4 separate regions of the Mus musculus genome follow, and regions 2, 3 and 4 are each reported to be linked to region 1. Evidence: microRNA targets listed by miRTarBase, many of them from high-throughput screens and not tested one by one. Region 1 holds a microRNA gene; each other region holds the end of a gene's coding sequence.
Evidence for each region. The annotated mature microRNA mmu-miR-320-3p reads AAAAGCUGGGUUGAGAGGGCGA and lies in region 1 at 3,789-3,810, opposite strand. An mRNA with a match to its seed (bases 2 to 7 or 8) in the 3' UTR can be bound and repressed. Matches are read on the target gene's strand: a 7mer-m8 pairs with bases 2 to 8, a 7mer-A1 pairs with bases 2 to 7 and ends in A, and an 8mer does both.

Region 1 (6,000 bases):
GCCTACAGCCTGATCTTATAGAGGCATTCTTCTCATCTGAGGTGCCCTCTTCTTCAATGCCTCTATCTTGTGTCACGTTGACATTAAAACTAGCCAGGATGGGCTTGAGAGATGGCTCAGCAGTTAAGAGCACCCACTGGTCTTCCAGAGGTCCTGAGTTCAATTCCCAGCAACCACACGGTGGCTCACAACCATCTGTAAAGGGAGCCAATGCCCTCTTCTGGTGTGTCTGAAGATAGCTACATTGTACTCCTATACATAAAATAAATAAATCTTAAACAAACAAACAAAAAACCAACAACAAACAACTAGCCAGGACTCTGGCCCACTATTCCTTTTCCCAGCCAGCTGCCATTCTTCTATTTGTGTGTGTGTGGTTCAACGAGCTTCACTGGGGCTGTGCAAAGGAACATGAACATCTTACCAATGGCTACACCACTGAAAGAACATGTCTTACCTTTCCTCCCTTCAACTTTTAACCACATGGAAATTCCTCAGAGAGGAGTGGGGATCTATCAGGCCCTTCCTCTATTTCTATTCCCCCCCCCCCGACCCCATCCCTGTTTGCTCCAGCCCTGCTCCAGGTATATTTATTTCATATATGTGGGTACACTGTCACTGTCTTCAGACACAGCAGAAGATGGCTTCAGGTGCCCATTACAGATGGCTATGAGCCACCATGTGGTTGTTGGGAATTGAACTCAGGACCTCTGGAAGAGCAGTCAATGGTCTTAACTGCTGAGCCATCTCTCCAGCCCCCTCTATTTTTATTCTTACATTTTTAGTAGTCATACATCTTAGCACAGTATTTTTTATTTATTTATTGTTTTTCTGAGACAGGGTTTCTTTGTGTAGCCCTGGCTGTCCTGAACTCTTTCTGTAGACCAGGCTGGGAGATTCACCTGCCTCTGCCTCCCAAGTGGTGGCATTAAAGGAGTGCACCACTACCACCCTGAGGGCTGGGATAAAAGGCATGTGTCACCACGGACTGACTAACTCAGTACTTTTTTTTTTTTTTTTAGACAGGGTTTCTCTGTATAGCCCTGGCTGTCCTGAAACTCACTTTGTAGACCAGGCTGGCCTCAAACTCAGTAATCCGCCTGCTTCTGCCTCCCAAGTGCTGGGATTAAAGGTGTGCACCACCACACCTGGCTTAACTCAGTACTTTTTAAAAGGGGGATTTATTTGTTCTGAATTCTACATGCACAAATGGTTTTTGCCTGCATGTGTGCCTGTGCATTGTGAGCTTGCCTGGTGCCCTTGGGGGCTGAAAGAGGGCACCAAATCCCCTGACACTGGAATTATAGACAGCTGAGAGCCACAACATGCGAGCTGGGAATAAGGGCAGCAAGTCTCTTACCCACTTGGGCATCTTCAGTCCTCTAGCATAAGCACTTCTTGAAAACAATTTAGTAGCGTTGATAATGAACCACAAAATACTCTTCGAAAATAGTCTAGCCACTGCGGAAGCCGGTTTGTTGTTCTTGTTTCCAAGATTAATCATACAGTCATACCTACCAACAGGTGCACTCATTCCAGAGACGTGGACATTTGTATTGACACAAAGAGCTGCACATTTATCCACAGCAACTTTATTCACAATAGACACAAACTAAGCAACCCAGATGTCTTTCAAAGGATGACTAAATAAATCATAGAAATGCAGTAGGAAAAGGAATAAACTAATGATATGTACCACTTGGATAATAGCCACAAAATTATAGGGATAAAAGAGTAGCCACAAGGGCTGGAGAGATAAGAGCACTGACTGCTCTTCCAAAGGTCCTGGGTTCAAATCCCATCAACCACATGGTGACTTACAACCATCTGTAATGGGATCTGATGCCCTCTTCTGGTGTGTCTGAAGAAAGCTATAGTGTATTCGTCATATACATGAAATAAATAAAATCTAAAATAAATAAACAAATAAAAAGTAGCCACAGAAGCTGGGCACGAGGGCACATTCCCTCAATCCTAGCACTGCCAAGGCAGATACTTTCCTGAGTGTTTGAAGTCAAGTCTTGTCTCTACAGTGAGTTTCAGGTCAACTAGAGGTTTATAACAAGATGACTCCGTCTCTTCAAAAACAATCCAAGTCATATACCGTATGACTCCATCTTTAGAATACTTTTGAAATAACAACATTTTAGAAATGGAGAACAGATTAGTGTGGGGAGGAGTGGGAGGAAGAGAAGGCTCAGCAGTAAGGGAGGCTGGCTGTATCTGAAAGGGCGGCTTCAGGGATTCCTGTCATGCTGAAATGTCTTGTACCATGACTGCAAAAATGTCAATATTCTGGTTTTGATATAAGTGCTAGATCTTACTATTGTGGAAAACAAAGTAAACAGAATTTGGGCTCTGCTGAATCATTATCATCATCATCACCATCAGTGTCTCACTTTGTAGTCCAAGCTGGTGTAAACTCAGAGACCTGCCTGCTTTTTCCTCCCAAGTACTGGGTTTACAGGCATGCACCAACATGCCTGGCTTGTCACATAATTTCCCCCCCCCCCTTTTTTTTTTTTAAATAACTGCATATGTATGACATCAAAATGAAGTTTACTTATTTACTATTTTCATTTTATTTATTTATTTTGGTTTTTCGAGACAGGGTTTCTCTGTGTAGCCCTGGCTGTCCTGGAACTCATTCTGTAGACCAGGCTGGCCTCAAACTCAGAAATCCACCTGCCTCTGCCTCCCAAGTGCTGGGATTAAAGGCGTGTGCCACCACTGCCCAGCAAAGTATACTTTTAATATGTACATTTTCTGAAACTCTTTCCTAGGGATATAATCTACAAGAAAGCAAAAAAGTTGGATGTATCAAATGTACACTAGCTATTTCTAACAACATACCTATTTAAAGTAAGTGCCCCATTAAGGAAACAAGTTACGATATATACATATAAATATGCACATATATATCCTCCCATTGGTCATTTGTCTCCGACAAAGAATACACTATTGTGTGGCACAATATTACAGTACATCAAAAATATTTTAATGCTAGCAGCCTATGGAATTCCAGCAGAAATAGGTTCCTTCCCTAGAATTACATAACCTTTTTATTTGTATTGGGGTCGCTGTAGTGTAACATTAAATGACTCCCCCCCCCCCAGATTAGATTGCAACCACACATTACAATAAAAAAATTTTTCAGCTGGGATTGGTGGTGTACATCTGTAATCCCTACAACTGAGGGATGAGTGAAGAGACTGGACTGCTGCAAATTCGAGGCCAGCCTGGTCTACTTAAGTTCCAGACTAGATAGGGTTACAGAGCAGGGTTGTCTTAAAAATACCCACACCTCCCAACCAAAAATCAAAAAACAAAAACCCTTCCAGTTGAAGAGCAAACTTCAGTTCCAAAGGCTTCCCAGATTTGACTAAGCAGTCATGGGCCCAGGTAGATGAGAAGAGCTATTGGCTGCTCTGTCCAAACTGCGTTAAGGGTGACACCCCAAGACCCCAGGGACCGGCAAGGGAAGGCGCACGCGAGCAAAGGGTCGAGCCCGAAGGTGCAATGACCACGCCAAGGTCAACGCAGGGAGGCTGCAGCCAGCCACGGCCTGAGGGCTCTAAGCTCCCTATGTCCGGAGCCCCATCCCGAGCGGCGACCCCACTGCTCCCAGAGGCTGCGCAGTGTGGACTCCACATACAGCAGGTAGGCGACCTTGGAGCCCCTCCACCTCCGACCCCGAGGACCGCACCTCTACTCCCTGCCAGGGGCCGAGACACGCCCCCACGAGTCACACCCCGGCACAGCTTACAGTCCACCTCCCACATCCTTTTTCGCCCTCTCAACCCAGCTTTTCCCGACTCCGGGAAGAACCGGGAAGAGAAGGCGGAGGGCGGCGAGGCACCGTCGGATAAATACTATGGTCAGGTCACGCCCCCTTGATGTCACTTCCGCCCCAGGGTAAGATGGCAGCGCCCGGTCCTTGCCACGCAGACTTCCGCCTTGCCCGGAGACCCGCGGCCCGTGGTTGCTCTAGTCGGAGGTGAGGTTGTGATACTCGGCGCAGAGCCTCCACGCAGGTGCGTCACGAAGTCCCCAGGGAAAGGGCAGGTGACGGAGTCCAAAGCTAGGGGTGGGGCGCTCCGGGAAGCCTCGCCACGTGGGACGGGGAGGAGCTGAGCTGCAGCGAGAGCGACGCACGGGCGGGGGGCGGGAGGCCACGTGGGTGCGGTTCCGCCCAGGGTCCTCGCGTCCAGCCCTTGGAGTCACTTTGTTGCCTACTTTCTTCTAGGAACCATGTCGGAAGGAAACGCGGCGGGCGAGCCCAGCAATCCTGGAGGGCCGCGACCCCTTCTCTCTGGGGGCCGGGGGCTGATCGGCCGGCGGCCCGCACCCCCGCTTACGCCCGGTCGCCTTCCCTCCATCCGCTCCCGGGACCTCACCCTTGGCGGAGTCAAGAAGGTACCTGCGAGCGCGTTTGTATAGAAACCCACCCAGGCCGTAGGGAGGCGACTCGTGATGTTCATTCATGTGCTGCCTTGGGCCCCTGGTGGGATGTCAGCCTTTAGAGAGACCTGCAAACCTAGGTGCTGGTACAGGACACTGACAGGGTCTCCTAGGCAATTAAAAGACAGTGAATCTAGTTGATTCAAGACATCCGGAAGTGCTTATTATGTTCTGGGCTCCTTACAAAATCCCTTGAAAGCCAGACAAAATTGCTTTACTTGCAATTTCGAGTGTTCATAACTCTGTGGATGTCAGTATTGAAAACTAATAATCTAGTAAGTGATGAATCTTAGGCATGCCGGTAACTGCTCTTTGTCCCCTCCTGTTATGTGTGTAACAGTAGATGTAACTGTACCGAGTAGCTCTGAAAAGGAATAGCAAACACAGGATAAAGCATTTTAGCTTTGCCTTGGGGGCTACTGGTGATAGTCTACCTGTCTCTCTAAGCCATCCCAGGACTGTTGGTCAGTTGAGCACATCGAAAATACAGTACTGTGTTTTACTTTTCAGAAAACCTTCACCCCAAATATCATCAGTCGGAAGATCAAAGAAGAGTAAGTAATGAATGAACAGTACTCACCCCGGTTAGCTCTGAATTTGGGGACGTAATTAGGTTGTGTGGCCTAGAGATTTTAACTTACGCTATTAGCTTATTCACCAGTGGTTCTCATCCTTCAATCCTGGGTTATATAGGGGCATGTTTCTTTTTGAGACAGTGCCTCGCTACATGGCCTTGCATGTCCTGGAACTCACTTATGTAGGTTGCTGGCCTAGAACTCCCAGAGATGTGCTTGCCTCTCAGACCTGTGTCCTGAGTGCTGGGATTAAGATGTACACCTCCACGCTTAGCTCCAGGGCACTTTGCATTAGAGGGTCTTTTTGGTTTTTGTTTTGTTTTGTTTTTTTTCTGTAATAAATAGCTGAGATAATTGGCTTACAGAGAGGGACATTTTGTTTTGGAGATTTTAGTCCACGATCAATCAGGTGGTTCTTGCTTTTGGGTTCATGGTATGGCAATGAATGCAGTCGGAATACCCAAGGGAAGAAAGAAATTAAGGAGAGGAAAGGGCTGAGTTTCTATTCTCCTTTAGGAGCTGGGTAACCACCCAGTAGGCTCCATCTCTTATAGTTTCAGCTACCTTCTGTTTCTGCCGAGGTGGGGCTGAACTCTCCAACTTTGCCTTAAGGTCCTCTGCTCTCCAGCCTTTCTACTTTTAGAGGGTTAAAAAACCAACAAACAAAACAAAAGGCCCACATTTTGACAAGACGGTAAAGTAGAAGGAAATTAAAGGCCGTGCTTTATGGGAGATGTCAAAGGTATAGCGAAGGGTTGGGTGCCGATTCTCGTAGTGTACTTACTGGCTCACAAGCTCTGCTCAGCGGGCTGAAAGGGGCAAGCGAGGAGGCTCCATTTCCTGAGGCAGACCCTTTTGTCTGTCCTCATTCCCAGGCCAAAAGAAGAAGTGACTATGAAGAAGGAAAAGCGTGAACGGGACAGGGACCGCCAGCGTGAGGGTCACGGACGGGGACGTGGCCGCC
Region 2 (6,000 bases), not on the chromosome of region 1:
GTACAGGGTTTTCCAACTTGGGTCCTGTGAATTTTGTGGCTCATGGACTAGACTTCATTGTCTCCATATGACCTGCCTGGAAGAAAGGAGGGGAAACAAAGACCTTGCAGGGAATCTGGCTCCAAGGGCAGGTACCATCAAGTCTTTCTTCTCTGGTAGTCTGTGTTGACTGCTGTTGGCTGCTGGGGAGATAGAACTTAATTTCCTGGTTCCTAAAGGACGATTTGCTTTCTGTTTAGGACTAGGCATCCCCTCAAGTCTGACCCAAGCTGATATTACGTATGCTCTAGCTTCCAGGAACTGTCCTCTCACCTGGACATGCAGGCACAGTTGGCCCACATGTGCATGTGTGCAGGCAAATAAGCGCACGCGCTCGAGGCACACACACACACCTGCACACACACATATACCCCTAGGTGATTAGAACATATAAAAGCATTGTGCTCATCTTCATGACCTACTATACACACCCTTCACCTCAAACGCCGGGTTACAAAACAGCTCTTCTGACCACATCACAGCAGTTGTGGATGGCTGCTCTGGCTTCTAGACTCCATTGGGTAGGGCAAGGAATGCATCCGACCAACCAGGCGACCAGCTGCTTAGCCAGCTGAGAGGTGTTGGGTAAGCACCAACTCTGGCCTCCCCAATCACAAGGCCCCGACTAGTTTATGAGAGTCATTTCTTAGGACTGTTGGCAGATGAGCAATTTCTATGGATGAGGAGGTCAGTCTTCCTCTGGAGCGAAGAGCAGGCTTGCTACAATACAGGTTGCTCCTACCGAGTGCTCCTCACTTGTAACAAACCCACCATATGTGGTCCCCTCGGGGTGGGAACAGGGGTTGGGGGAGGGACAGCGGGATGAGGGGGGACTGACAGGGGTTGTGCTACTTTCTAGCCAAAGCTCGGATCCAGAAGTGATCTCAGCCTTGTGGTAAACACACATTAATTCTTAAAGATTCTTATTTCTAACTAAGTGTCTATTTGTGTGACTTGGTTTGTGGGCACTGTACCTGTGGAGACCAGAAGACGAGGTTGGCTCTCCCGAGGCTGGAGTTACAGGTGGTTGTGAGCCATCTGGTGTAGGTGCTGGGAACCCAACCTGGAGTCCTCTCTCCAAGAGCAGTATGGGCTCTTAACCTCTGAACCATCTCTCCAGCCCCCAAATCAGCTTTTCCAGACAGTAATGTTAATTTTTCAATGCCTAACATCTCCTTGGTCTATGAAGCAACCATTGATGTCGGTGGCCGGCAATTTGTGGCCAATTTGTTTTCCTACATTGGAACAGAGCCGCACAGTTACGCACCAGGATTTGGACTCTCTCTGGAGCTGAAGAACCCTCACCACACTAAGTTTACGTGATGAAGGGGGTGGAACCCAGGGCCTTTTGCATATAACACAAGCACTTCTGAGCTGTAGCCCCAGCTCCTGGGCTATTTTTATGTTCTACCAGCAATGTAGCTGTGACAGAGACTATGTACGTAACCTGTATGCCTAGGATTGGATATTTAACCCTTTAACAAAGTTTGATGACTCCTGCAAAATGTAATTTTCCTTCTAGGGAAAGGGGCGACCACAGTAATACTGGCAAGGGTGAGTTAGTCTGTCTTCTTACAAGTCGCTCAAAGAAGCTGTAAGTCACTTATCAGCGGGTTTCTTTTTTAAAAAGTTTATGAATATTTATGTGTGTGTGCAGGAGGCTGTGGGGGTCAGAAGAGGCACCTGATCTTCTGAGCTGGAGTTACAGATGGCTGCTAGCTACCATGTAGGGGCTGGGAGCTGCATTGGGAGCGGGGGGGGGGGGGGGGGTGTCCTTTGCAAGAACAGGTGTTCTTAGTTACTGAGCCATCTTCCCAGGTCTCAGATGACTTGCAGGGACTGGTATCTAAGAGCTTTCTAGGCGGAGGGCGCACACGAGGAGGAGACGGTCCATTTTCACTAGGTTATTGGCTAACCTTGCAGCCGGAAGGTCTATCTCCGGGGGACAGTGCTGACCTGATCCTTTTATGTCAGCCCTGAATTTGGACCCTAGCACCACAAAACTACAGAACTCCACGAAGCAGCCACCTTCTTATACATTGTGAGAATCAACACCTGTGGACTAAAAACAAAGGACACATTGCCACTAGAACAGAAGTCAGTTTTAATTCATTGAGAAGTGCAGCAGTGAACAGGGTCCGTTGAAGGGCACTTTCTAAGGGAGCGGCTGAGATGACAGCTCCAGGCAGAGGAACTTCTACAACAGCTGATGAGAATTTACAAAGTCCATTGAGCGCAAAGTGCTGGTGAGCTAAAGAACCCAGGACACCCATCAGTCCCGCGGCCATCAGCTGATACCCCTTGCTTTGTCTTGAGGATTCTGGGCTGCCATCTTCCATTAGAAAACATAAGATAAAGATACCCCTACGTTTGAGAATACTTCCCACAGATGAAGGTGTAACTTCCATAGCCACTCTATTTTTACATAAAAACCCGGGCGCTGGCAATTCAGAAGGTGTTTGCAACAGTACCAACTTGTTGAACTCAAAGACACTCTAATGTGTACCCTACTTTGAAATTGTATCTGAGGGGCAGTTTTAAAACTGGAAATCTTATAAGGCGAAGTCCCTGCATTCCATGTTGGTTTTAATGGTTCTCCCTTTGAAGAGCACTGGTACACATATACCTGGCCTTCAAAGGAGATGTCAAAATGCTGAGTACAGAGAACAGGGCCGGCCTCCTGCAGTGCATCTCTTGTGGGTAGAGGCCATGCACGCTGCAGTCTGTTATAGAAGGTCTACTTGAATGTTTGCAGGAACGTTCCTTAACCAGGAGGTTCAGAGAGGATCTTGTGTCCCACAATCCTAATGTGTTACCTCCATCTGAGGGCCTCGAGGTAGGACACCTACTGCAGCCTACTGACTGTTACCACTCTGATGTCGCCTGCTTTCAGGAGCCGGCTATAAAACTGAAGACTCTAACATCTCAATCCCAGACCTGGTAGGAGCTGCCGACCTTTATTTGGGAACAACTGTGGTCAGCTTTCACTATTTCACTGGTCATGTTTAGAATCCAAGTGGGGGTGAATGAAGCCGGTATCCACATTCAATTCTGTAACTTTTAGTTTAAAACTTAAACTTTTCCCCCTCTAAAGTGGCCACGGCCGAGGTGTCCACTCTACTGCCTGCTGGCCTCTCAGTATCACCAAAGTTGCTGGGGTCACATGAGGTAAAGGAATAAACTCAATGGCTGTCCCCCCAACATGGCCTCTGGAATTCTCAAAGTGACTCATAGCTGTCTTACAAGTTAAAGCTGGGCAGAGGCTGTGTAAAGCTAAACCCGCTCACTGCCGACGACAGGCTGGAACCGAGTTTCGCCACTCCGTGCTGCCTCTGTGGACGTCAGGGTGGAACTGGACTTTAAGGAACAGAGTGCCGTCCAGGGCATCTGGGAAGCCGGCCAGGGGAATACTGACTGGAGCCCTAGTTAGTCAGGACTGGAAACTCGCACTTTTGTGAGATCAGGGAGTGGGGTGAGGCAGCCGGTCCTTCCCCTCCACCAGGAGACACTAAGATTTTCAATGACAATGACAGCTAACTGCAGCCAGGCAGGATGACTTGTGTGGCGCTGACACTTGAGAACCCTCCAGACAGGCACTTGTAAGTGCGGCCCTTCAGCGCACTGATCCAAGAGCTCAGGAAGCGCATCTGGCCCCCCCTGGTGCTCCTGGGCGCTCTCAGGTGGCTGGAGTCACTAAGAAGCTTCTTAGGGCAGAGCTTGGGCGACACGTCGCACATTAACCACACCACAGGGATGTCATGAATGTCCTTTCTCTACGTGTCCACAGACAGCAGCTCTTCTCGCAACTGTGTGAGTTTTGGTGAGGGGCTCGGTGTGAAATGCTATACAGTGCTTTTGATTTGGGGGCTAGCTAAAATACCAAAAGGTTTTATCTCTGCCCTAAAGTATTGCCATTATCAGAAGAGTTTTACAGATCCAGACTCGACCACGTGGGGACTCATATACTGTGCCCAGCCAAGATGAAGGGACAAGGAGAGGACAAAGACCTCAGGAGTGGTGGTTGTCATCTGAGGAGAAACAGGGTCAGCCACTTCTGACAGGGGCGGATTCACAGTACTGGAAGTCAGCTGACTGGATTATTTTTCAAACAAGACTTGAAAGAGCAAGGCCAGAGCTCCCGAGGCGTGGGCTCCCACTCCAACCACGGCACCGGAAAAGGCTGTGCAAGGATCCAACGCAGAGGCTGCTAGAGCGGATGCTTCGAGAACCTTCTCGTTCTGACGCTGCCGTGACTGTTGAACATGAGACGCAGGTCAAACCTGTACCTGAGGGAAGCAAAGGGAGGACGTCACGTGAATGCTCGCTAGCCATGTGACTTCAAAGGCATATCCTGCAGCAGAGAGCTGCCGGGAGGGACTGACACACCAAGCAGGGAGCTGTCACATAAATGTGGTTTCAGTAGCCGAGAGCATTTTCCATGCAAGCTGTGACCTGAGGAGAGCAACACGGTTAACTGCAAGAAGCAGGAGGGAGATTCCTTCAGAAAACAGCAGCAACAAAACATTACTACACAGCCTTGGCTGGCCTGGAAACTGCTACGCACCAGGCTGGCCTCAGACTCCCCAACCTGCTGCCTCAGGCTTCTGAGTGCTGGGAATAAAGGCAGGCAGGCAGGCTACGGGAGGTGAGCGAGTCTCAGGTATAAAGCATCCAGATGGAAGAGCTGACCCTCACTTAACCTCCACTCAAGCTCTGAGATCGCTTCTTCTTTTCTAGCCGCTGGCACTTTGGCGCACACACAAACACGGGTCTTAGATGTGTGCTTGAGCCAGGCTCATGAATTTAAACAACTCCAAGTTGTCTCTGGCCATCAAACAGAGAGGCATTCATGTAGAATGTATGGAACCCTCTCTGTAAGTGCTCCATGGGAACAGCTGAGAGTTTGTGGCTATAAAGAATCCAGACTGGCCAGAAATGGGCTTTCCATGAGCCGAGCAGAAACCTGGCAATGAATTTACACTCCTTCTGCCTGTGGGCCGATCTCTGCAGCAACACTTTTGTAAAGGGTCAGATGCTATGGTCAGGACTGTGGACCATCCAGCCACAGACACTGTACAACACACATGTGTGGCTGCGTTAAGAGCTTGTGCCTATAGGATCCAGTCCGATGACCCTACTGCAGAGGATCCTGGAAGGCCAAATGTTTGGCAGAAAAGAATATCCTGGGATGATAAATTAGAAACAAACTCAGTTGGTGTTTACGTACTTGGGCTAGCGATAGCACACATAACCAGCATCTCATCAGGGTTGACATAAACAAAACGCTGGAGAAACATGATGCGGGCAGCCAGTGAACCCCGGGCAAACTGTGTGTCTGATGATGACGACATGCATGCGCTGGGCTCTAGGGAGCCGACGACCGCTCCAGATGTCCAGGACAAGCAGGACAGCACCTGAAACCACCCTGCTCTGGCTGGCCAGTGCTCCAGCAGCTAAGCCAGCAGGGACTGCTGGCCATATGTCACAATCCCAGGGATTTCTCCACTCGCCTTTCAAGGGCTTAGTTACAGCTTTCAATTCCCGGAACCAGCCTAGAACTCACGGCTAGAAGCATTAAGTCCGTTTGGTTTGATACACACTGTGAGCTGACGTCTGCGCAGACACTGGGGAAGGTGAAGGCTGGATAAAGGACGTGACGGACCAGGCTTACGACATTCACTCCACTCAAACATTACTTGGTTTAAGCTAGACAGATCGACATGTATTGTCTTTTTACACAGTGGCCTAGCTATTTAAACGTTTTCCATTTTAGCAAGGCATGGTGGCTAACACCTTTAATCACAGCAACACTAGGGAGGAAGAGGTAGCCTGGTCTACATGACAAATTCCAGGACAGAGAGACCTGTCTCAAACCAATTTCTAGCTGGGGCCTGATCCGTGGGGTTGCCTTGGGGATGGAGGTGAGAGTTGCATGACCAGCATGACAGCCCTTTCTGACAG
Region 3 (6,000 bases), not on the chromosome of region 1:
CTGGAGATTCTTCTCAGGATACCACCAAAGTGTGCCCTGCTTGCACTAGGTGGTACTGGGAAGGCAGAGACTGGCAGGTTTGTGTCATTGTGACTTTATAATGACTGCACTTAATTAGGTTGGAGAAAGTTGCAGCAAGACTGTAATGCGATGTTGCTGTTGGCATGTGATAAAAAATGTTGATGCATGCTGTGACTAATTAATTGCTGGTCATTTGGAGTAACCCTTTCCTCTAGACCCTTCAGTGACCTTCTCCTTAAGGAATTTTCATAACTGGCTTCTAGTTTTTTGAGAGGAAACTGAGTCTCCTTATAACTCGGCTGTAGATCTCAGTGGTGGCTTCTTAGGTAGTGTGTTATCAGAGAAGCTAGGAATGAGATTTACTTTGTGCTTTATAAGGTCACTGTTCTCGCCGGGCGGTGGTGGTGCACGCCTTTAATCCTAGCACTTGGGAGGCAGAGGCAGGCGGATTTCTGAGTTCGAGACCAGCATGGTCTACAGAGTGAGTTCTAGGACAGCCAGAGCTGCACAGAGAAACCCTGTCTCGAAAAAACAAAAAAAAAGAAAAAAGATCACTGTTCTATTGCTGTGAAGAGACATCATATGGAAACTCTTAGAAAACATTAAGGGGGGGGGTTCTTACAATTTTAGAGTGGGAAGCAAGCTGGCATAGTGCCAGAGCAGTAGCGCTGCATTCTGCTCTTCTGGCGGTGGGCAGAAAGAGACTAGGGCACACCTCCTAATCCTTCCAAAATAGTTCCACCAATCAGAGACCAAGCATTCAAATATAAGCCCCTATAAGCTGTTCTCATCCAAATCACAGTCCTTCAGTTTCCAACATTCTACACTGAGACAGTCTTGCAGTGCACTGCCCTATGGAGAACAAGCTGTGCCTGCTTTCTTGTCATTGTAGGCTTTGTTCTTTGGGATCAATCTGATAACTGTCTAGAGAGGACTCTAACACTGAGTGTCTGCTAGTTCATGCCCAGGGCTGTTCTAGCTCTCTGTGAGTCGGGTGTTCACAGTTGCTCACTGGTTTCAAGCAAATGTTTACTAGTGGCAAAATACTCAACTTTGAGGTGATTGGCTTAAAAACTTCTTGGATAAATGCATGGGCATTTCTCATTTACCAGTAGTCTGAGCTTCAGTGGCTGGACCCTTTATCTATTCCACTGGGACTTCTGTCTGACTTAAGCAAGTGTGTTATATCACAGCATGGAGGGAGGGTATGTCTTTATCATATCATGTGCTTCCTGGTAGAAAAGAAACACAGCCAAGTACTCTTCTGAGTTTCTGTCTGTTGCAGTGTGATAACTGTGGTGTGGAACCTATCCAAGGAGTCCGGTGGCACTGCCAGGACTGCCCTCCAGAAATGTCTTTGGATTTCTGTGACTCTTGTTCAGACTGGTAAGTGTTTTATTTCAGAAACAGTAGACTCAAACAGTGAACTTTATTTCCAAACTTGTTTAGTTAGAGTGTAATTGTTTATGCATTAGATTTTATTCTAAGCAGTTAAAATCTTCCTTAAATCACACCAGATCTCAAGCAACTTTCTGTTAAAACTTTCTGAGAGATTAAGTGGGAAGATTTTTTAATGGGTAAATCAAAATGCATCTGGAGTCGTGTAATAATGAAATGGGTCTGGAGTCATGTAATAATGAGATGCATGTCTGTGTGTTTTTTACTTGCAGCCCACATGAAACAGATATTCACAAGGAAGACCACCAGTTAGAACCTGTTTATAAGTCAGAGACGTTCTTAGACAGAGATTACTGTGTGTCCCAGGGCACCAGTTATAGTTATCTGGACCCCAACTACTTCCCAGCCAACAGATGACATGGGAGAGTGTCGTCCGCACTAGTCCTCGTCAACACGCAGCAGTGGCATCATGGTTAATGGTGTGCACGGTTTGGACACTCACAGCATGAGAGCTCCCCGAGTGTTCTCGTCCAGTACAGCTCTGCACTGTGTGGCTGTAGATCAGCAGCTGAACATTCCTGGTGAGCCGAGAGGTTCCCTGGTGAGATTTTCACCACTAACCTAAAGCCTTGTAGGTGGTGGTGTTAAATGGGTGAGGTGGAAACAAGAGCACGTATTAATGCCAGAGTCAATTCCAAAGGTTTAAAAGACCTCGGTCATAAATATGATAATGAAAGACAAAGTATTTATATTAAATCAGTTTAGTAGCTTTCAGTTTTGTGAAGATAGTTTTCAGCGCAGAAACAGACTTATAGATGAAGTTTTAACCAGTGATGGTGTTTGCTTCTAGGATGTGTACTCTAAAAGAACTCACTGTCTGGTGGTCACTGATGGCCTGTAGTAGACTGGAGCTGCTTAACGGTTTGATACCTAACTTCTAATCACGATGACCTGTCCTTACCAAGAGCAAAGCAAGACATAGCTGTGGCTTTGCTTCTGTAACCAGCTCATGGGGTGTGAATGTCATGAAGTTGTCTCGCTGATATATTTTTAATGTCATGTTATATGAGATGATCATGTGATGTGTACAGACTATGTTGAGAAGTGCCAGTGGTAGTAACTGTAAAGTCTGACTCACACCATTAATCCCTCTAAAGTACACAGCCTTCTGCCTCTGTGTGGAGTTGTCAGTACAGCTCGTCAAAGAAAACTGCCTAATATAAAAATCATATATATGGTGATAATTTTCCCTCTTTTGTAGTCTGCACAAGATCCATAAAAGATTGTATTTTTATTACTATTTAACGAGTGATTAAATGTAGTCTGCACAGTGAGCAAGAGTTCACAATTCTTTTTATACTGCTGGATTTTGTTGTGCATCATTTAAAACATTTTGTATGTTTCTTATCTGTGTATACAGTATGTTCTTGAATAATGTTCATTTGTCGGGAGAACTGTGAGAAATAAACGATGTGGATATGTTTGTTTATATCATAGAAAGCTTGTTGTGGATTCCTTTGGGTCAAATTTTGATTTTTTTTCAACAAGTGATAAAAGTAGAATTTATTATTTAAAAGTCTGTTTTTCATCTGTATTTGCTTTCTGTTCTTTATAAAGGGTGAAGATGTATTGTGTTAGTGTTCTCATGTAGCGTGCTGAAACACTGCACAGTAAGGGTGCTGACTAATGTCCAGATGTGGAACCTAAATAGAAGTCAAAATATTATTCTAGTACTTTTTCTTAATAAAATTAAGTACCTATGTGTTGAAACAGGTGGTTTCCAAAAGTTATCAAAAAAAAAAGATAGTATATATCCTATGGTAGATTGAGTATTAATACTAGTCTAGCTTTTAAAATTGTTTTTTTTTTTCCTGTTTTTAAATTCAGGGAACATTATTTACTAATTTTTTTCAATACTCAGCAAGGTATTAAAATCTACCCTGAATTTTTTTAATTAAGAAAAATACAGAATTTTAAATATAGAAAAGAGAAATTTAAATAATATATTGATTATGTATCACTGGTCATATTGATACAGTCTATTGTACTCAGAAAAGTTGACAGGTTTTTATCTCTGAGCTATTAGTGAAGGAGAGGCAGTTGAACGATGTGTCTCTACACTAAATCCTCAGTGCACATGCCGAAGGGCTTCCGTCCATCTGCAATATGCAGGACAGTTGCCCCTGTCTGTATAGAAATAGTACCAGATAGTTGTTCAGATCCATCCAGAAGTCCCATAGAGGTGAAGTACAATGTGGAAGGGTATGAGCGGTACGGTTGTAACGTCATCAGGAGCGAACAAGCCTACTTGAATGCATTTTAAAGCTGAGATAGTAATGTGGATTTTTCCTGTTTGAAGAGAAAATGTCTTTATTTGGATTTTTCAGCTCTAAGCACACTGTCCCCATGGCTTGCTGGGAATGATTCCTGGTGTTGTATTTGAGGGTTGCACAAGTAGGCAGGTTGTTCTTTGCAAGAAGACTCTCACTGTCTCTTCCAAGGCTGCTGACAGTGGGACTTGAGAAGCTGTGTCTTCAGATCTCTTAGTAGCACAGATTTGTGGTATGTGATGCTCAAGCTGTTTGCTATAATTGGAGGAACATTTAATAACGGCGGAAGTGATTGCTCTGAGGTTAGGGAGAGGAGTTTCCTTTAACGTGAGGCACCAATAGTAATTAATTGCTGATTTAGCACCTACTGTGCACAAAGCAAGCATGTGGCAACTCATTGGATTCTCAACCAACGAAGCAGGTTCATTTATTACCCTGTTTTCATGGGAGATCTATCCAGAAAGAAATTAAATGACTCACTCAGGGTCATATTGGTAGAGAGGTGATAAGACTTTAACCAAGATGGATCATTTTGTCACACTTGGTTTCCCAAGCGTTTTCCATGCCTTTGTTCTCATGCAATGCTAGAGTACAAACCTGAGCCATGTCCATGTTTGTAATACAAGAGAGAGGCTCGTATGTGGCTGGAAAGTGCCAGTGTATCCCACCATTGTGACTCCTGCGAGCACACATGGAGAACCTCTCCATGGCCTCTCGGTAACCTGATCCCATGGAAGTCCTTGACTTCCCCCCCTCCCCCCCAGTTCCATTAAATCACAGAGCACAGCTACTGAGATGGTAGGAAGGGATTTTAAAGGGTGACAGAAAATGGCACACCACTGTAATAGGTAATTTCCCTTAAACAGCTCTGTGAGATATGCTGTATAAGCTTTCTTACTCTGGATAGCCAGGGTTAAAACCCACTAGTCTTTGTGCACTGGAGGAAACCGGTAGTTTCCAGTGCATTGTCCTCTTTACCTCTAGAGTCAAAGAGGAAAGGTTACTGCCCAGCTTCAAGGGTTTATGTGTCTGTTAAATGGATTGATTTCTGAGAATTGTGTCGTGTTTTGCCTCATGAGAACAGTTCACGTCTGTGTCTCTATTCTCTGACTTTTTTTAACGAATTCTCTATATTTGTTGGTTATGTGACCCAGTATTCTGGTAAGTTACACTCTTTCTTGTTTAGAGAGGACTGGGGTCCAGTAGGTCACTAGGTGCTAGTGACTCTACAGGTGGTCCTGTGACATGCCCTGGAGGACAGCCTTTGCACCCAGCTTTACATGTAGGGTGTGATTAGCCAATCAGATCATGTATTGTGGGTATGACTCTGTCATGCTTGCTGTGACATTTTGGGTCTTATTTCCAGTTGGGGAAGTTAAGTCCCCTTGATTGAGTTCCAGGAACTAGTTACTGACCTGAAGCCTTCCCAATCGTATCTGTGACGAAAGCGAAGGCACTGAGAATGAAAACAGAAGTGACAGATGTGAGGACTCCAGTAAGACGAAAGCCAGGCTTTGTGGAGCTTGGAAACAACCGTGTGCAAATAAACCATGTGAAAGAAAATGCTATTTGAAGAAAAGTAGTGCCGTGGAGCTCTGTTGCTTTAGATTGAATGGCTAAGCAACCGTCACTGGCAGTTGTGGGAGGTAGCAGTGTGGGTCAGCTTTCGAGAGGACTCAAGAGCTCTGACGCCATTGGTAAGGACCTGGAGCCAGGGACCACCTAGGTTTCCCTGGGCAGCTTTGAAGACAGGCAGTGTGTGTGTGTGTGTGTGTGTGTGTGTGTGTGTGTGTGTCATGCATCAACTAGGGGGCGGGACGAGGCAGCACAGCCTTGAATGCAGGAGTTTACACTTGTGTTCTGAGGTTGTCTGCACACATAACCTTTTGCTAGGCAGAAACCGCTACAGTCCATTCATATTTTAAAGTGTAACTTTATGATGTCACTTGGAGCCATTCATGTGGGCGTTGTGTGTCTTAGCTGTTCTGTAGAAAACTGACTTGCATTCCCGGGTACTGATTCCTGCTGAAGTTTTCCAGGCTGCTTGCCTGCATGTCTGCTGCCTCGTCCAGAGCTGTGGGTGCAGAGCTGCCAGTGTGTGCTGTGTGTTGGGTTGTCATCCTCTAGTACCACTTTCCATTCTTGCTCTAATGTCCGTGCTCCCTGTCGGTTACCTTTGGGGCAGTGTACGCATTTCACAGCCATGTGAGTGGGGGCGTGATGTGCCCTTTCTGGTAACAGAGGCCTAATT
Region 4 (6,000 bases), not on the chromosome of region 1:
TACTCCTTGCCAGGCCCGGGCTCCTGGCCCAGGTAGTGGGATCAAAACGAGCTATTTCGGGCCCCGGCGCGCAGCCCCCGGGGGCCAACCTGGAGTGTTCATGCTCATGCCCCCTGGCCGCTGAGCACCCCAGGCTGAGTCAGAGGCACAGAATTAGGCCCGACCTACTCTGGGGTAGGGTCTGTTCTGTGTCCTCCTGACTGCCTGGCATGGGTGCAGCATTCTCCAGGAGTCTGTTACTAAGACTGATGCGTCATCCTCAGAGCTGCCAGCCTGGCGGAGATGGATTAAGAGGACTGAGAACTCTTTGGGGGACTAATCGGGACCCAGGGTCCCAACTGCCACAATGATTGCCACACCTATAAGGGTCTGCCTCCTAGACTTTTAGCTTCCCCTTACAGAAATGGAAAAAGGCTTAATGACATTTCCCTGGTGTCCTTTTCCGGGCATCCAGCAGGCGTTTAATAACTGGCCAAGTAATTATTGAAGTTTCTAAATAAGGAATACTAATGCCTGAGTTTGGCCTCAATCCCAGTGTCCCTGAGAGGCCCGCCGCAGGGGCGGCACAGGGCACAGTATAAATCGGAGCCAGCGTGCGTTTGGGCACTGCGGGGCCCAGGGTGGCAGCGTAGGAACAGGATGGAGATCCCCGTGCCTGTGCAGCCTTCTTGGCTGCGCCGTGCTTCAGCTCCTTTACCAGGTTTCTCTGCTCCGGGACGCCTCTTTGACCAGCGTTTCGGCGAAGGGCTGCTTGAGGCAGAGCTGGCTTCACTGTGCCCTGCTGCGATCGCCCCCTACTATCTGCGCGCCCCCAGTGTGGCGTTACCCACAGCCCAGGTGCCAGGCCTAGGGAGAGGGCCAATCCAACTACTAACAAGACTGGGGGCCAGGAGGGGGGTCTAACCCCGGGCCGGGGGTGCGGGAATGTCTGTTGATTTTTAACTTAGAGGAGAATGTCACCCCTCAGTGGGGCCATTGGGTGTCCCTTGAGTGCGGTATTCTGAGCCCCTCCCCCCCCCCCCCCCCGTTACTGATCTTCTGAGGGGGTGAAGGGTGGGGCAAGTGAGCCGGGAATCTGGGGGAAAGGACAAGTGAGTCCCGACGGGCTGTAATGTTCCTAGGGTTGCATATGGTGATGCTGCATCTTCAAGAGGGATCCTGTGATTTGATGAAGGGGGTCTTGGGCACTCTAAACGAGGGGAAAGTACCCGTAAAGGGCACAGGAGGTCCCATGACCTAAGTAAGAACTCTGGCGATGGGGAAGTGGCATCTTGGTTGCTAGCATGGTGGGGTCTCGTAGCAGAAATGGTGACTGTGGAGTCAAGGACATGGGGTGGGGGGTTATAGGGTAGATATCTAACTTGGTTACCACAAAGAGGTGGACCCAGTATTTGAAGGGGAGGGGGGCCAGTTATTATGAGGCTGAGGTTCTGGTGACTTAGAGGGGACAGTCTACACAAGTCCTCGGCAGCAGCACTGTAACCTATGTATCATAGAGAGTGCTGGGTCCCAGAAGCCAAGACCCCTATCCGATCGACGCCCCACCCCTACCCGCCATGTGTGCAGGTGTCCACGGACTCTGGGTATTTTTCCGTGCTGCTGGATGTGAAGCACTTCTTGCCAGAGGAAATCTCTGTCAAGGTGGTTGACGACCATGTGGAGGTCCATGCTCGGCACGAGGAGCGCCCGGTAGGTCTGCATGCCAGACTGGGGAGCGGGGTAGGCAGGAGGGTAGGAGTCTCAAGCCCATCTCTCCCTGTACCCCACCCTCAGGATGAACACGGATTCATTGCTCGAGAGTTCCACCGCCGATACCGCCTGCCTCCTGGTGTGGACCCTGCTGCTGTGACCTCAGCACTGTCTCCTGAGGGTGTCCTGTCCATCCAGGCCACACCAGCGTCGGCCCAGGCCCAACTTCCGTCACCACCTGCTGCCAAGTAGGGGTCCCAGCTGCACAGGACCGAACCCAGGAAGCCTCTTTAGGCTCTCTTTTAAAAGCCGATCTGACTCCACTGCCCAGCCAGATGTCCCAATCGCCGTCAAGACAGCCTTTCCCAACCACACCTAGATGTCCTTCGGAGACCTTTCCACCCCTAAGCCTACCTGAGCCCTAGTAACCTAGACAGCCTCCCTAAGCCCTCTCCCAGCTTTCCGGCCCGACCCAGGACACCTCTCTAGGGACGCTACTGTCACCCCTCAGTCAAGGCTCCCATCAAATTGACCCCACTTTGGGCTTCTATCACCACGCAGGCCTCCTACCGCACTTGTAACCTGTGTAGAATACCCCAAGGTGACACCAGAGTACAGTGTAGTCACCTAATTCTCCACATGGAGAAACTGCATGGGCTTTCCACATCAGAACATCCAAGCCTAGTCCACCAGTCCTACCCACTAGTCCTGTTCTTGTAACATAATGCTCCTCTGCCCAGCCCACTTTCAGACTTAAAACTCCAGGCACCTAAATTCTTGAATACTATTCTGACTTCCAATTCTTGGGAAAACTATTCCCAACTAACCAGGAACCCCAAACTCAAACTGTATGGACACTTCAACTTCTCCAGATGTGCTAGGCCAATGAACAAGAACCCTTGAGTTCCTCTGTCCTGGCTGCCCATCTGCAGCCAGATGTCTTAGGGAGCCTCCTTCACATCTGCCATTCTCTAAGGTCACACCTTCACTGCCAACATTTCCCATCTCCGCAGGCCTTCCTACCATCAGTCCCCAATAAATGCACTTGAGATTTGTCAACTGCCTTATGTCTGGGCCAGGAACGATGGCCTGGCCAGTGTGGGTTGGGGGGCACATTTATTGGGGTGGGGTTCCTGGGAAGGTCACTGCCGGTCATACATCTCCCGTAGGATCTTCATACTTTCTGAGTAGCGAAGCTGGTTCCGATGAGATGCCTCCTTCCACCTAGGAAGGCAGAGGGAGGATTTAGCAACTGCTACAGAGGACACTGGGACAAGCAGCAAGTGAGGCAGGCCACACTCACCTCTGGCGTATGCGTTTCCAACGTTGCATGTTGCGATAGATAAGTGTGGAAGGAGAAGGTTCAGGCTCGGAAGGCTGCATGGACAGAGAGGCTCAGCTGGGTGACTGTGTCCTAGCCCTCCCAACATGCCCTGAAGCTCCAGGCCAGCCTTGGATACCTACTTCATCATCGGGGGTACCCTCGGTCTCAGGCTGCAGTGGGGATGGAATTCTGGATCTACAGGCATCTCCAAGTGGTCCAGGAGCTGTGGGTGGAGGCAGCTTGTACACATCACGGTTTTTGCTGTTGATGACCTCTGAACCCTGGGGAGACAAAGCCCCAGACGAGACCCAAGAGTCAGAGCAGAGGGTTGAAAGTACATGTCGCTGGGTGTGGTGGCGCATGCCTTTAATCCCAGCACTCGAGAGGCAGAGGCAGGTGGATTTCTGAGTTCGAGGCCAGCCTGGTCTACAAAGTGAGTTCCAGGACAGCCAGGGCTATACAGAGAAACCCTGTCTTGAAAAATCCAAAAAAAGAAAAAAAGAAAAAGAAAGTACGTGTCATCGCTCCTACCTTTCCCAGCAAGACAGACATGAGGGGTCTATCCAGAAACCTGTACTTGGAGAAGTCACAGTAGAAGGGACATGCCTTTATCAGCTAGAAGATAGTCGTCCTGTTCTAGGGACCGTGTCTCCTTGTCAGCCGGAGAACCCTTGTCTACCTCTGCCAAGCCCAGGGAATTCCATCTCTATCTGTCAGCCCAGGGGCAGAGGGTGGTCAAGATGCTCTCTTTACGCAGTTGTCTAGGGCAGGTGTCATGTCTACTTTTATCTTGAGAGCCCCAAGAATCAAAGTCATGTATCTGTCCCAGGAATCCATGTCTACCCTTTCAGGCCAGATGATTTTCAAACCTGTTACCCTCCGCCCAGCCCGTAAGGTCCACATGTGCTCACCAAGGCCCCATCTGGTAGCCACATCTGTTTGCACTTAAGATCCCTGTTCCCTAGGAAGCCATATCTATGTGGCCTAGGGACCTCTGTCCATAATCCTAAGAGCAAATAGCTATCTGTCCTACCCGATTCTCTATTCATTGAGGGGGGCCCAGGCATTAAAGCTATCTACCACTCATGGGGGAGTTGTTGACTTATCCACCCACTCTTCAATCTGGCCTCCTGATTGAACTCATCCTACCTCTCCATCCTCGGGCAGAGGAGGCAGCGGTGAGCCGGGTGAGCGCTCGCGCTCTCGCACTGTGGGGCTGTTGCGCATCCAGGCGCGGCAGATGGGGTACAGTGGTGTGTTCTCACTGAACTGGGCCAAGTCCACACTCCGGTCAAATAGCTTGATCACATACGTATCTGGGGTGGTAAGGTAGGCGATAAGTGTGTAGTTCCTGGCTCCACACCCACCCTCTCAGTCCCCTGCCTACTCACTGGATCTCTGAGGACCCCCCTCAGCGAGCCCATCGTCCATCTCCCTCCTCTTCTTCCTCCGCTGGTGGGGGAAGCGGGCAGATGGCCTGTGTGGTTAAGGTGAGTGTCAGGCCCGGAGCTGGGGACTGGGAACCTTTTAGTGAGCTGGGGTCCCAGCCACCTTACCTTTTGCCTGTGGCAGCAATGGAACAATCCCTGCAGGGAGAGACATGGTGTCAGGAGGCTTTAATAAACAGCTGCTCAACGCTGCCCCCCAAGGTGGAAGTGACGTAGTTCAGGAACAGAGCATTTGCCTAGCATGGGCAAAAGCCCTGGGGTTCTATCGCTAGCTCTAAAAACAAACAAAAATTAACATCCTGGGGATTATTGGTACTCCTTGGGCCTTGTATCCCACCAATACCCTCCTCTAAGGTGTTAGCCACTTATACAACAGGTATCTTTGTCTATGCAAGATGGTTAGGACTCAGCAGAGAGAAAAGCTACCTAACCCAAACTCTCAGGTCTAAATCCCATCAAAGTCCCTTACTTGTTGTGCGTATCCAAGGGGGTTTTCCCAGCTTCTTCATCCAGGCGTTCCCTGGGAACAAAAAAAACACTACTGGCTTAGGGTACCAAGGACCCAGAGTGTGATGCTATTAATTAGTCTTCCCATGAAACATCCCATGGGGCACTTTTCACCCTAGGCAGCCCCTCCAGCCTCCCATCCACATCCCCCCTCCAACAATCAGAGTCAGTCCAAACAGCTCCCACCCTGTGGTTCCCCAGGCTGGACCAGGTTCCAACCTGTCCATGTGACTCTTCTCCAGCAGACACTGAAGAACGGCATCCAGCTGGTTCCGGGCTTTGGCCATCTCCATCTCTGAGGGTAGAAGGTAGGAATCAGCTCTGTGTGCGCCTCCCACATTCGCCGTGGGAGGCGATCCTACGTCCTGTCTGGTCCAGTTACTTGGAAAGCAGCTTTAGTGCCACTCAGTGGAGAGACCAACTAAAGACAGAACCAGGGTGACAGAGCCTTAGGCGGGGCCAAGGGCACAGCTGCTACCACTGCTCTTTCTCTCCAACACCTACTCAGGAATCTAGGATCTGGACACCTTCCATGGACAGCCCTTAGGGTATTCCCACTGAGGTCTCCTCGAAACCCACTCCACTCCCTGGATTCTCCCATGAGGCGTGACTAGCTGGCCCACAGGCTCCTGACTCGCTGTGGGCACTCCTTTCCCAGCCCCAGTCTCAGCTCACTTGGCTTGTGGGAGTCTGTCAATATATCCCCTCCCTACCTCGCCTTTTCCTCCCACCCAGCGCCTAGCCTCTGTCATCTTTTCTGATCCACCTCCTTTTATAATGCAGACAAAAGAACCTTCCTAAAAGAAAGCCAAGCCTACTGGGCATAATAGCATATGTCTGCTATCCCAGCACTCTGGAGGCTGAGGTAGGAGGATCAAGAGTTTCAAGGTCAGCCTCAGCAATGAAAGATCCTCTCTCAAACAATAAGCAAAAGAAAGAAAAAATACAAAGACAGACAGACAACACAACGTGGCTTTGATCTTCTCCAGCACAGAACCCTCAAGGAGTCTTCAATCCTGACTCCAGAAAATG

Region 2: the mRNA of Gns is a reported target of mmu-miR-320-3p. Seed matches in the 3' UTR shown: 7mer-A1 at 3,308-3,314 and 8mer at 3,287-3,294.
Region 3: the mRNA of Zzz3 is a reported target of mmu-miR-320-3p. Seed matches in the 3' UTR shown: 8mer at 5,021-5,028, 7mer-m8 at 5,410-5,416 and 7mer-m8 at 5,487-5,493.
Region 4: the mRNA of Hspb6 is a reported target of mmu-miR-320-3p. Seed matches in the 3' UTR shown: 7mer-m8 at 2,145-2,151.

What each region holds. Positions count from the first base shown.
Region 1 is chr14:70,441,367-70,447,366 of GRCm38, reverse strand. It overlaps Mir320 (microRNA 320), which reads right to left and starts at 3,857; the gene lies at 3,776-3,857. It overlaps Polr3d (polymerase (RNA) III (DNA directed) polypeptide D), which reads left to right and starts at 3,896. Exons shown (of 9, transcript NM_025945.3): 1 at 3,896-4,034; 2 at 4,247-4,416; 3 at 4,972-5,015; 4 at 5,912-6,000. The coding sequence starts at 4,252.
Region 2 is chr10:121,393,373-121,399,372 of GRCm38, reverse strand. Gns (glucosamine (N-acetyl)-6-sulfatase) reads right to left here. Exons shown (of 14, transcript NM_029364.4): 14 at 2,119-4,325. The coding sequence ends at 4,247. Among named protein-coding and RNA genes, the nearest start is that of Gns, 31 kb to the right of the region's middle.
Region 3 is chr3:152,456,563-152,462,562 of GRCm38, forward strand. Zzz3 (zinc finger, ZZ domain containing 3) reads left to right here. Exons shown (of 14, transcript NM_001080755.2): 13 at 1,307-1,407; 14 at 1,692-6,000. The coding sequence ends at 1,836. Among named protein-coding and RNA genes, the nearest start is that of 3110067G11Rik, 30 kb to the right of the region's middle.
Region 4 is chr7:30,552,696-30,558,695 of GRCm38, forward strand. Hspb6 (heat shock protein, alpha-crystallin-related, B6) reads left to right here and starts at 606. Exons shown (of 3, transcript NM_001012401.3): 1 at 606-837; 2 at 1,567-1,689; 3 at 1,774-2,748. The coding sequence starts at 640. The coding sequence ends at 1,941. Lin37 (lin-37 homolog (C. elegans)) reads right to left here. Exons shown (of 9, transcript NM_029377.2): 2 at 5,188-5,263; 3 at 4,931-4,981; 4 at 4,570-4,599; 5 at 4,405-4,490; 6 at 4,163-4,329; 7 at 3,154-3,294; 8 at 2,993-3,066; 9 at 2,746-2,913. The coding sequence ends at 2,832. Gm38670 (predicted gene, 38670) reads left to right here and starts at 133; the gene lies at 133-209.